Linked DNA regions of Mus musculus: region 1 is reported to be linked to region 2. Evidence: microRNA targets listed by miRTarBase, many of them from high-throughput screens and not tested one by one. Region 2 holds a microRNA gene; the other region holds the end of a gene's coding sequence.

Region 1 (4,410 bases), not on the chromosome of region 2:
AAAAAACAACCAAATAACAACTGACTCTGCCTCCTGAATGCTGAGATTAAAGGCTTATGCCACCACATCCAGCTCAAATATGTGTGTGTGTGTGTGTGTGTGTGTGTGTGTGTGTGTGTGTGTGTGTATAAAATGTGAATGAGGCAATTTATTAACCCAGCATCTTTTGTTCTAATGCTTCTTGTTGGTAGCTGCCACCTGTCCAGTGATCCTGTCCCAATCTCTTGTTCCTGAGGTGTTAGCTTATAGCCCCCATCTTGGTCCTTTTCCACCATTTTCAGCCCCTCCAGGGCTTGGAGGACCCGGAGGGCCACACTCTTAGAGCCTCTGCTGAAGTGGCTGGGTCCGACACTGTTTCTCTGCCATCCTCCACAGATCCTAGTCATGGAACCAACCTGTGCACTCCCACAGAGGTACAGATGCCGTACTGTGGAAGCAGCTCCTGTGTAGAACCAGCTCTCATCATATGAGGCAAGCTCTTTATGTTTGGCCAGCTCCCGAGTGCTGGGATCAAAGGTGTGAGCCACCACACCCGGCCCTACCATTTTTATAATCAGAATAAGATCATTCAACAACACTTGGGAGGCAGAGGCAGGCAGATTTCTGAGTTCGAGGCCAGCCTAGTCTACAGAGTGAGTTCCAGGATCAGCCAGGGCTACTCAGAGAAACCCTGTCTCGATAAACCATGCCCCCCCAAAAAAAATTCATTCAAAAATAATCTTTGGAAATGAGCTGGTCTCATCTATTTATGGGTTTTTCATTCTTGTTTCAGGTAGCCTTCATGGCTGTGCCACATCATTTGCAGGAGACTTCCTATCTGCTGCCTCCAGATCCAGAGGATTGGGAGAAACAAGGCATCCCGGACTTTGTCTATGGCCAGGAGGATCTCGTTGGCAAGGAAGTTCAGTGGCCCAGGGATTCACCTAGTGCCGTGGACACAGTACCACTATCCCGTTTCGACTCTGCCCTCCGCTCTGCGTGGAGGCAGCGGCTGGAACTGGGCCTGTTTCGGTACCGCCTAGAAGATCTGCAGACCCAAATCCTCCCCGGTTCCGTGGGGTTTGTAGCTCAGCTGAATATAGAGCGAGGGATACAGAGGAGGCGCCCCCAGAATATCAGAAGTGTGAGGCAGGAGTTTGACCCGGAACAGTTTAACTTCAATAAAATTCGACCTGGAGAAGTCCTTTTCCGGATGCAAAGGGAACCTAAAGGCCCAGCCACTCCAAAGCAAGAGGACGACGTCCTTGTGGTGATCAATGTCAGCCCCCTGGAGTGGGGTCATGTGCTGCTGGTGCCTGCACCTGCTCAGGGGCTTCCCCAACGGCTGCTGCCTGGAGTGCTGCGGGTGGGGCTAGAAGCTGTCCTACTGAGCTTGCACCCAGGCTTCAGGGTCGGCTTCAACAGCCTGGGAGGCCTGGCCTCTGTGAACCATCTTCACCTGCATTGCTACTACCTGGCCCACCCACTGCCTGTGGAGGGAGCGCCAAGCACACCCCTAGACCCCAAAGGTTGTATACATCTGCTGCAGGCCCTGCCGGCTCCTGGCTTTCTCTTTTACACCAGTGGGCCAGGGCCGGATTTGGAAGTGTTAATTAGCAGGGTATGCCGAGCTACTGACTACCTGAGTGACCGTGAGATTGCACATAACTTATTTGTGACCCGGGGAGCTCCCCCCGGGCCGACATCATCTACCTCAGATCTCAGTGGGATCCGAGTCATTCTGTGGGCCCGGAAGTCCAGCTTTGGAATAAAGGAAAGTGGGGCGTTTAATGTTGCCCTCTGTGAGCTGGCTGGCCACCTCCCTGTCAAAACATCACAGGACTTCAGCAGCTTGACAGAGGCAGCTGCAGTGGCCCTCATTCAGGATTGTCTGCTGCCTGAAACTCAGGCAGGTGAGGTACGGGCAGCGCTGGTAGCCCTGATGGCTCAGGAAGAGCTGTGATTCTTCAGGAGTGTTTTCTTTGCTGACTAATTCGAGGCCCTTTCCCAAAGGCCAATGTGAATTCAGTCCATTTGTGCATTTCATGTCATGACCTTCTTCCCACCTCCCCACATAAGGACTGCAGAGAGAGCACTGAGAGAATGTGTTCTCATGAATGTTTCTGCTGCCTCTTCCCTGAGAAGCCCCAGGGTAACAAGCCCTGCCATGAAGGGCCAGATCTGACCATTTCAGGGGGAGGAGTGCTTGCTGCTAAGTCTGTTGATCAGGGTTCAACCTCCAGAACCCATAGGGTAAAGGCTGTCTTCTGACTTTAAAATGTGCACCATGATACATTCACTCACACACACACACACACACACACACACACACACACACACGTAAATATATCTCAAAACAAAATTTTTTAAAAAGTAAATATAAAAATAGTTTTTTTGTTGTTGTTTTCCTTTTTTGTTTGTTTTTCGAGACAGGGTTTCTCTGTGTAGTCCTGGCTGTCCTGGAACTCACTCTGTAGACCAGGCTGACCTCGAACTCAGGAATCTGCCTGCCTCTGCCTCCCGAGTGCTGGGATTAAAGGCGTGCGCCACCACTGCCTGGCTTCTTTTGTTTTTCAAGACAGGATTTCTCTGCCTGTACTAGAACTCTGTAGACCAGGTCCGCCTGCCTCTGCCTCCTGAGTGCTGGGATTAAAGGCCTGCACCACCACCACCCTGCTAAGAAAAAAAAACAAATTTTAAAATGGAGAGTGGGAGAATTTCACAGTCCTGGTTTGTCAGTGTTCTGAGACTTGTAGGTCAATCTAAGAAAGAGGGTCACTCCAGGGTGAAATATGGCCTTACAGGGAGATCCAGGCTCTGTGGACTCAATATCAAATGGCCACCCAAAAGCATATATTGATTGTTACACAAAAGTTGTGGGTTTTTTGGTTAAAAAAAATTCCTCACACCGAATCTAGTCTTATGTGTTTCCTGAAGGAAGACATCACTGCCCACAGCTTCAGTTCTTATTGTATACTGTTTGCAGTACCCAACAGTGCACATTCCCAGTGTGCCAGGACTGTCCAGTGACCAGGACTTTGCAAAGGTTGTAAAACTCCTTCAGAAAAACAGTTCTATAGATAGTAGAAAACAGTCACTCTTTTCTTAATGATTTCTTCAAGGTCAAAACACTTCTAGCAAACAACCATTCTGATGGCGACCCTAGAGTGCTTCTACTAGATGTCTTGCTACACAGGTTGCTCTCTGGACTTCGCCTTTGGTGTGAACCATCAGCCTCTGCTCTGATGGCTTACAGATACATCCAGCTACCTTGTCTTACCTTTGCTCTTGTCCCTTGGTGCGCCACTGACTCTTACAGGGTCTCACTGTGTAGCCCTGGCTGTCCTGAAACTCACCCTGTACACCAAACTGATCTTGAACTCAGAGATTCAGCCTGTCTCTGCCTCCTGAATGTGAGCCACTAAGCTCTGTAGCCCAAGCTACCATCAAACTCCTCAAATCAAAGAACCCTGTTTTAGTTTCCTGAATCTCTGGGACTCCAGCTTTGCCTATGGCTGGTTCATTGGCTGACTTTGCCCTCCCCCCTTGTATTTGCAACTGCTTCATCCAGGTGGTCAACTTCTCTAAAAAAAATTTTAAAAAAACCAAACTATCCTTTCTTCAAGCCCCCAATAACAGTTGACTAGTGAGTTCAAAGCCAGTCTGGGCTATATACTGAGACTACCTCAAAAATTCTTTTAAAAATGCTGGTCATAGACCACAGAGATAGCTCAGGAGGTATCAACACTGTGTGCCCTCAACACAGTGACAGGCGTTTAATCCCTAGGATCCACTCAGTTCAAGGAGAACCAACTCCTGCAAATGGGTCTGTCACTTCCCGCACATGCACCAAGGAAATGTAGCAAGTGTTCTGCTTGTTATGAGAGACAAGGTCTCACTATGTAGCTTTGACTGGCCTCCAACCCACAGAGATCCAACTGCCTCTGGCTCCTACATGCTAAGATTAAAGGCATGGGCTACCACAGCTGGCTAATATTCTTAAAGAAGTGTTGGTCCTTTTATTGCTTCCATTCAACAGAGGAAGAAATGGTTGTTGACCCAGTCACTTGCTTAGGTCAGGCAGCTAACGGCAGAGTGGAGGTTGCAGCACACGCAATGAGATGCCAGACCTGGTACAGTGTATACTGGAGTCTCTCCAGTCAGCCTTTCCTACCGTGGTGATGCTGCCTTTAACAGTTGGTGGCCCTCAGGGATCTTTCCACAACCAAGTCTCTGTAAATCCTGGAAGTTTTAAAAAGTCTCATTGTTGATTACAGATATCCTAGCATTTGGGAGGCTGGGATGGAAGACTGCTACAAAATCAAGGCCAGCTTTAGTCACAAGCCTTACCCCCTTTAAAAAAGACAAACAAACGGATGGGGAGATGGCTCATCAGTTAAGATTGATTGGCTGAGCCAGGCTCAGGAAGGA
Region 2 (5,930 bases):
GTTCTCATTTCCCCTCGGAAGGAAATGACTGTTTTGAATTGGAGACATGGAAAAAAAAAAATATGTCCCTGCCTGCCATGCCTCCTCTTTGAGGAGAATGCAGGTTTGGACGCTGGGGTGGAATTAAAAACCAACCTGAAACTGGAAAAGGAGGTCTGAACTGTTTCCAGAGGGAGCAGAATTGGGGTCGGGACAAATAGAATGTCTGCAGGCTCTCACCAGTGGGCTCGCACCCACCCTCCCACACCAGAAGGAAATGCACAAAGGCCTATTTTCTGACTTCCCATTTCCCCCCTGGGGAAACCCTGCCTCAGGCAGTCTGAGTCAGGCCGTATAACTGGTTGGGTTTTGCCCAAGGGTGCGTGAAGTAGGGTAGGTGACCAGGACAGACTCCCATAGCCCTTAGCTCTGCCTTTGAGGATGCTATCAGAGGAAAACTTTGTGCAGTACCCGAAGGCGGTCACCAGAAGCAAGGAGTTCTAGGTATTGGTGGAATGTCTGGGCCTTGTCACGTTCTGCATGTCGCCTATGGATGCTTTATTGTCCTGTGAAATTTGAGAGACCCCACTTTCATTGCAACAGGTTTTGGAGCGTCAGGGAGAACGAGGGAGAACCACTGTAAGTACCTTCCCTTTTCTTCCGAGGAACGAAAGGGTAGTGCTAAGACTGGGAGGAGGTGGGCGGAAGGTCCGCGCCAGCGGTGATGGGAGGGTTAAGGAGTAGCGGAGTGGCGCTGCCTCCCCAGGCCAAAACGGACTCGCTTCGTGGAGGGATGGAAGCTCTAGGCTGACCCTTTAGGAAGTATTTCTGGGACCTAGTTCACAGTCACCTGCTCAAGTAAACGCACCGCAGGGGACCGCCCTTGTCTTCCCGGACCTCTCTGGACCATACAGGCCTTTGCCAGGCTTCTCTGGCTCGCACAGGTGCAGCAGACTTGCAGCTAATTAGCAGCCCACCCTATCAACGAACTGAACTACGGGCGGGCCAGCATCCACAACTGCTAGAATTGACCCAATCAACACCAAGGCAACGGGGGTCCCTCTCTGCTGTCCAGCCATTATTCTCTCTGCCCAGTCTATCTCAGCCTTCTCTTGCTGTATATAGGTTTTAATTTAAAATTTGATTTATTACAGACAAAAACAAACATATAACCCTTGATGGTCTTGGGTGTGTTGGATTGGCCTGTTTCCAGGAAGGGCTACAACTTCTGAGCTTATGTAGACATTCCTCTCCTGTCCCTTTCTGGGTCCTAGCTTCACTGGTGTGGGTCCCAGTTTGGGATACCCGGTGAACAAAAAGAGTACTTTCTCTTTCCCTCCGTTTCTCCTTAGCTGCAGTTGAAGAATTTCTACTCTACTCCAGAGTCCAGTGGAATTGGGTGGGATCAGAGGCAGGGACTCCAGTTCTTTGGCTCTGAAGTTTGAAGCTGAGAATGCTGGTGACATCTTCTGGGTGTCATTAGAAGGGTTGGCACTAGAAGGAGAGTCAAGGAAATAGTAGAGGCTTGCCACTCACTGCAAACCACAGGTAGTTTAATTTTAATGGAACAGTAGCAGATTGGTAAGGACCACAGGGACCAGGCATCCTCCCTCTCTTGTGAGATGTCTTCCCTTCCTGGTCAGAGAAGCTGAGACTGGGCTCAGGGCCAGGTTTCTTTGCTGGGCCCCTGGTGAGGCTGAGCTAACAGGGAAGTGAAGACCTTTACAGCTTGTAGTTCCTTCTATGAACCAGGCCTGCACACAGTGAACCAGGCTCCATGGTGAAAAATCTGGACTCCCCAGACTTTCTCTGGCCTTGCCCCTGCCCTCTTCCTTGGCACCCTTGGCTGTGAGGGCTCATCTCTGCTGAGGCTGCTTGCTTGCTGGCGCCTTGTAGCTGCCCACAGCACAAAAAGCCGGAGAGATCAAAAGCATTTGTATGGGCAGTTGAGAGGGAGGTGAATATTTAACGCTTTTGTTCATCAATAACTTGTTGGCTTTGACCTGTCTGAACAAGTCGAGCAATAAGGTGAAATGCAGGTCACAATGTCTAACAAATATGAAAATGTGTGTACTCATCTTGGTCCTCACTCAACCCATCGGACTTCCCCAATTTGTCTGGGTAAAACAGAGGTAGGCCCAGTGTCCCCAGAAAGGCCTGTCAACGTGTCCATGGGTGAAAGGGCTGGCATTAGGAGAAACTGGGGAGAGTCTTTAAACAAACGGATTTTAACCCCCTTTTTTTTTTTTAGAACTGACACCTGGGAAATCCCTGCAAAATAGTGGAAGTGAAAGATGGTGGGAGGGCATGGAAGGGCAAAGTACAGGGTCAAAGTGAGCACCTAATTTTGCCAGATATGATGAGGGGAGTCTCCCTGCCCCACCCCATCAAAATCAAGGCATGGGGCTTGAAAGTGATTTTTCGAATTATATAGGAAGGGATCAAAACAATACTTAGAAATGTGGACATCTTCAATCTGTTATCAGGCATCCATAAGCTCGGCCCAGGCCAGGGCATCCCTCTGCCCCTGAAATCAGCCCAGCCCCAGAGTGCATCTGGGCTCTTGATGCCCTGAATTGAGGGGCAAGCCCAGGACAGCGGAGGCGCTGGGGCGGCGAAATTCGCGAACTTTTGTACTCTTCTGTGCTGCTGTCGGCAAAGCAAAAATAATGAAACTTTGTGATATGTTTGTAAATGATTTCGAATGACCCCTCGCCCTGCCCTTCACCATTAGCTCGACAGTCTCAGCCCAGGGAGGCTCGGTGGCCGCAAACAGCGCCTGCCTCCGGGTCTGCAGCAGCAGTCATAGCAGCAGCAGAAGCAGCAGCAGCGGGATCCGAAAGTCCGGCGGGGCTGAGGGCCCAGAAAGGTAAATGCTCGAATTCTAGGAGGACTAGCTGTGACCACTCACTTGGCTTAGGTTCTGGTGAAGACTATTCCTTTTGCCTTTTTCAAAACTCCCTTTCTGCTGCTGAGGGCCTTTGCTTCTTTTTGGGAAATACCACTTGATAAGGGGGCGGGAGATTTGGGTTCTGAGAAGGGGCAATTAAGCCGCCATCTCTGGGGTGAAAAAAAAACTCCCCTTCTTTTCTTTTCTTTTTTTTTTTTTTAAGAAGAAGAAGGTCCTGGCTGCTCAGCTACTTGGTGGCCCCCATCCTGGCAAGCCGATGAGGGAACTCATTGCTGTAGCGAGCAGCAATACTTAGAAATGCACCGAGCCTACCTGCACCATCTCTGAAAGCCAGGCTTGGTGAGTTCCTGGTGGCTGTGCTGAAGAGATCAGGTCTGGCAGCTGCCTGAATGTCTGCTCTGGGTAGGACCCGAGGTTGTAACGTTGTCTATATATACCCTGTAGAACCGAATTTGTGTGGTACCCACATAGTCACAGATTCGATTCTAGGGGAATATATGGTCGATGCAAAAACTTCATATATCTCCGACATGGCCAGAGACTGAGGCGCGGAGAGTACTGGCAGCCCAGCCGGCAAGCCACCTCTTTCTTTTTCATTACCTTAGACTCCAGGATGATCGACTTTGCCTGGTGAAATTGTACAGCCTTTTCCTGGAGAAACTCCTATAGATATTCCAGTAGGTGCTCAAGTGGTTGTCTGAGTGTAAAGCCAGAGAGCCAGGTTTTAGGGTATTAGAGAGTGAGGTGAAAGGCCAGAAAGCTCCAGCAGAAGCCCTGCTCTGAAGGAGCATGAGACACAAAGGTACCCAAATGGGGCTCACCTGCCCTTGTGTGGGAAGAAGACAAACTGAAAGATAGGCCATCGGAGACCGTTGGGGTACATTTAGGCAAGGTTAAGGTCCCCCTCCCCACCATCCCAATATGACCCAACCCCTCAGCCACCAGACTCAGAACTGTGAGGGCCTCCTGCAGAAAGATCCAACTTCAACTAGAAACACCCCAGCCTGCGCATTGGCAGAAAAGCATAGTGGTTACTCATTGCCTAACTCAATTCAGGTCCGCCAGATTCTGGTAACTTTTGGGTGACCCTGATGAAGACAAAGCCAAGACAGGTCTTTGTATGTCAGAGTCCAGGACTCCTGCCAGCTGGCCGGGCAGCCTGCCTGCCTGCCTAGGACTCTACCCAACTCGGAGGCCACATTGCCCACACTCATTCTTCCTTATTTTGCACCCCAGTAGGAGAATTCACTCTTCTTTGAACTATGTCCATTCTGGGGGCTGCTTCAGGCGATGGTGAGTAAGGAGGGCATGGGAGGTTAGCAAAGTCAGTGGAAGACAAAAGCCGAGATTACCTGCCGGAAATTGGGACCCCGGGGATAGAATTAGAACTCTATTAGCATCTGTCAGGGACTCTCAAATGTGGCATGGCAAGTCACTTGATTACACGTATGTTATTTAGTTAAATTTGTGAAAATTATGAGATGCTCACCAACCCGGTGATAAACATGCTTTCTTCCTATTGGCTGGCCTGGTCACATGGCCGCCCAACTTTATTCAGTTGACAGCAAGTAGGAGGGCCCAATGGAAGGAGAAAAAAGACAACACGAGAAAAATTAGTATTTTCTACCTTCTGAAATTAATGGCCATGAGTTCGTATATGGTGAACTCTAAGTACGTGGACCCCAAGTTTCCTCCGTGCGAGGAATATTTGCAGGGTGGCTACCTAGGCGAGCAGGGAGCCGACTACTACGGCAGCGGTGCACAGGGCGCCGACTTCCAGCCCTCGGGGCTCTACCCACGGCCCGACTTCGGCGAGCAACCCTTCGGAGGCGGCGGGCCCGGGCCTGGCTCAGCGCTGCCCGCGAGGGGTCACGGACAGGAGCCGAGCGGCCCGGGAAGTCATTACGGTGCCCCGGGAGAGCGGTGCCCAGCGCCCCCGCCTGCGCCCCTGCCTGGCGCTCGGGCCTGCAGCCAGCCCACCGGCCCCAAGCAGCCGCCCCCCGGGACAGCACTCAAGCAGCCCGCTGTGGTCTACCCTTGGATGAAGAAGGTGCACGTGAATTCGGGTAAGGAGTGGGGGCAGCGACCTCACAGCCCTCCCGCACCACTCCTTGCATCTTTTGGCCTGCACCCCCCACCCCAGGGGTTGCGAATGGGTAGGGGCTTGTGCAGCTTCCTTGGGCGCCGCAATTACTCTCTCCATAAATTTTTATAGCTGAGGGAGCAGGCCGGGACCATGTGGCTGGCTGCTTGGCTGTGGGCGCAAAAGGGGGTGGGGATGGGGATGGGGTGGGGGGAGGACTCCATTTCCACAGCAGAGGGAACGCAGAGCAAAACAAGGACCTTTCCAAAATGTTGGCGATACCGAGCTCTTGGTGGGCCAGTGGCAAGGGAGAACCTTTGAGGAGGACCTGTGAGCGTGGGGAGTGTGTGCATGGAAGGGCTTGGGTGGGAGTGTGTGTATGTTTAGGGAGAGGGCGGGAGGGAGGAAGCTGGCCAGCTTGGAGCACAGGGGGGGCCCGAGGGCTGCGAGACGCGCCAGGAAGTGAGGGCAGAGGCAAGCCTGGGGCCTAACTAGTGGCCGGGCTCTGACCTGGCTGTCTTGTATGTTTTGTCTCATAGTGAACCCCAACTACACCGGCGGGGAGCCCAAGCGCTCCCGGACGGCCTACACCAGACAGCAAGTCCTAGAACTGGAAAAGGAATTTCATTTTAACAGGTATCTGACCAGGCGCCGTCGGATTGAAATCGCTCACACCCTGTGTCTGTCTGAGCGCCAGATCAAGATCTGGTTCCAGAACCGGAGGATGAAGTGGAAAAAAGACCACAAACTGCCCAACACCAAGGGCAGGTCTTCTTCCTCATCTTCCTGCTCCTCTTCAGCTGCCCCGGGCCAGCATTTGCAGCCAATGGCCAAGGACCACCATACGGACCTGACGACCTTATAGAAGTGGGGACCCTGGGCCTATCCCTTCTTGCACTCCAGGTTGAGGCGAAGCTGCGGGTGCAGGCGGGGCCTGCTGTCACCTCACTGGGCTCT

What was found. The annotated mature microRNA mmu-miR-10b-5p reads UACCCUGUAGAACCGAAUUUGUG and lies in region 2 at 3,325-3,347, shown strand. An mRNA with a match to its seed (bases 2 to 7 or 8) in the 3' UTR can be bound and repressed. Matches are read on the target gene's strand: a 7mer-m8 pairs with bases 2 to 8, a 7mer-A1 pairs with bases 2 to 7 and ends in A, and an 8mer does both.
Region 1: the mRNA of Gdpgp1 is a reported target of mmu-miR-10b-5p. Seed matches in the 3' UTR shown: 7mer-A1 at 2,128-2,134, 7mer-m8 at 2,409-2,415 and 7mer-m8 at 3,295-3,301.

The regions. Positions count from the first base shown.
Region 1 is chr7:80,237,442-80,241,851 of GRCm38, forward strand. It overlaps Gdpgp1 (GDP-D-glucose phosphorylase 1), which reads left to right. Exons shown (of 2, transcript NM_178752.3): 2 at 773-3,979. The coding sequence starts at 782. The coding sequence ends at 1,942. Among named protein-coding and RNA genes, the nearest start is that of Ttll13, 6.7 kb to the right of the region's middle.
Region 2 is chr2:74,722,750-74,728,679 of GRCm38, forward strand. It overlaps Mir10b (microRNA 10b), which reads left to right and starts at 3,321; the gene lies at 3,321-3,388. All of the region lies in intron 1 of Hoxd3 (homeobox D3), which reads left to right. It overlaps Hoxd4 (homeobox D4), which reads left to right. Exons shown (of 6, transcript NM_010469.2): 3 at 583-618; 4 at 2,714-3,229; 5 at 4,127-4,956; 6 at 5,513-5,930. The coding sequence starts at 4,530. The coding sequence ends at 5,838.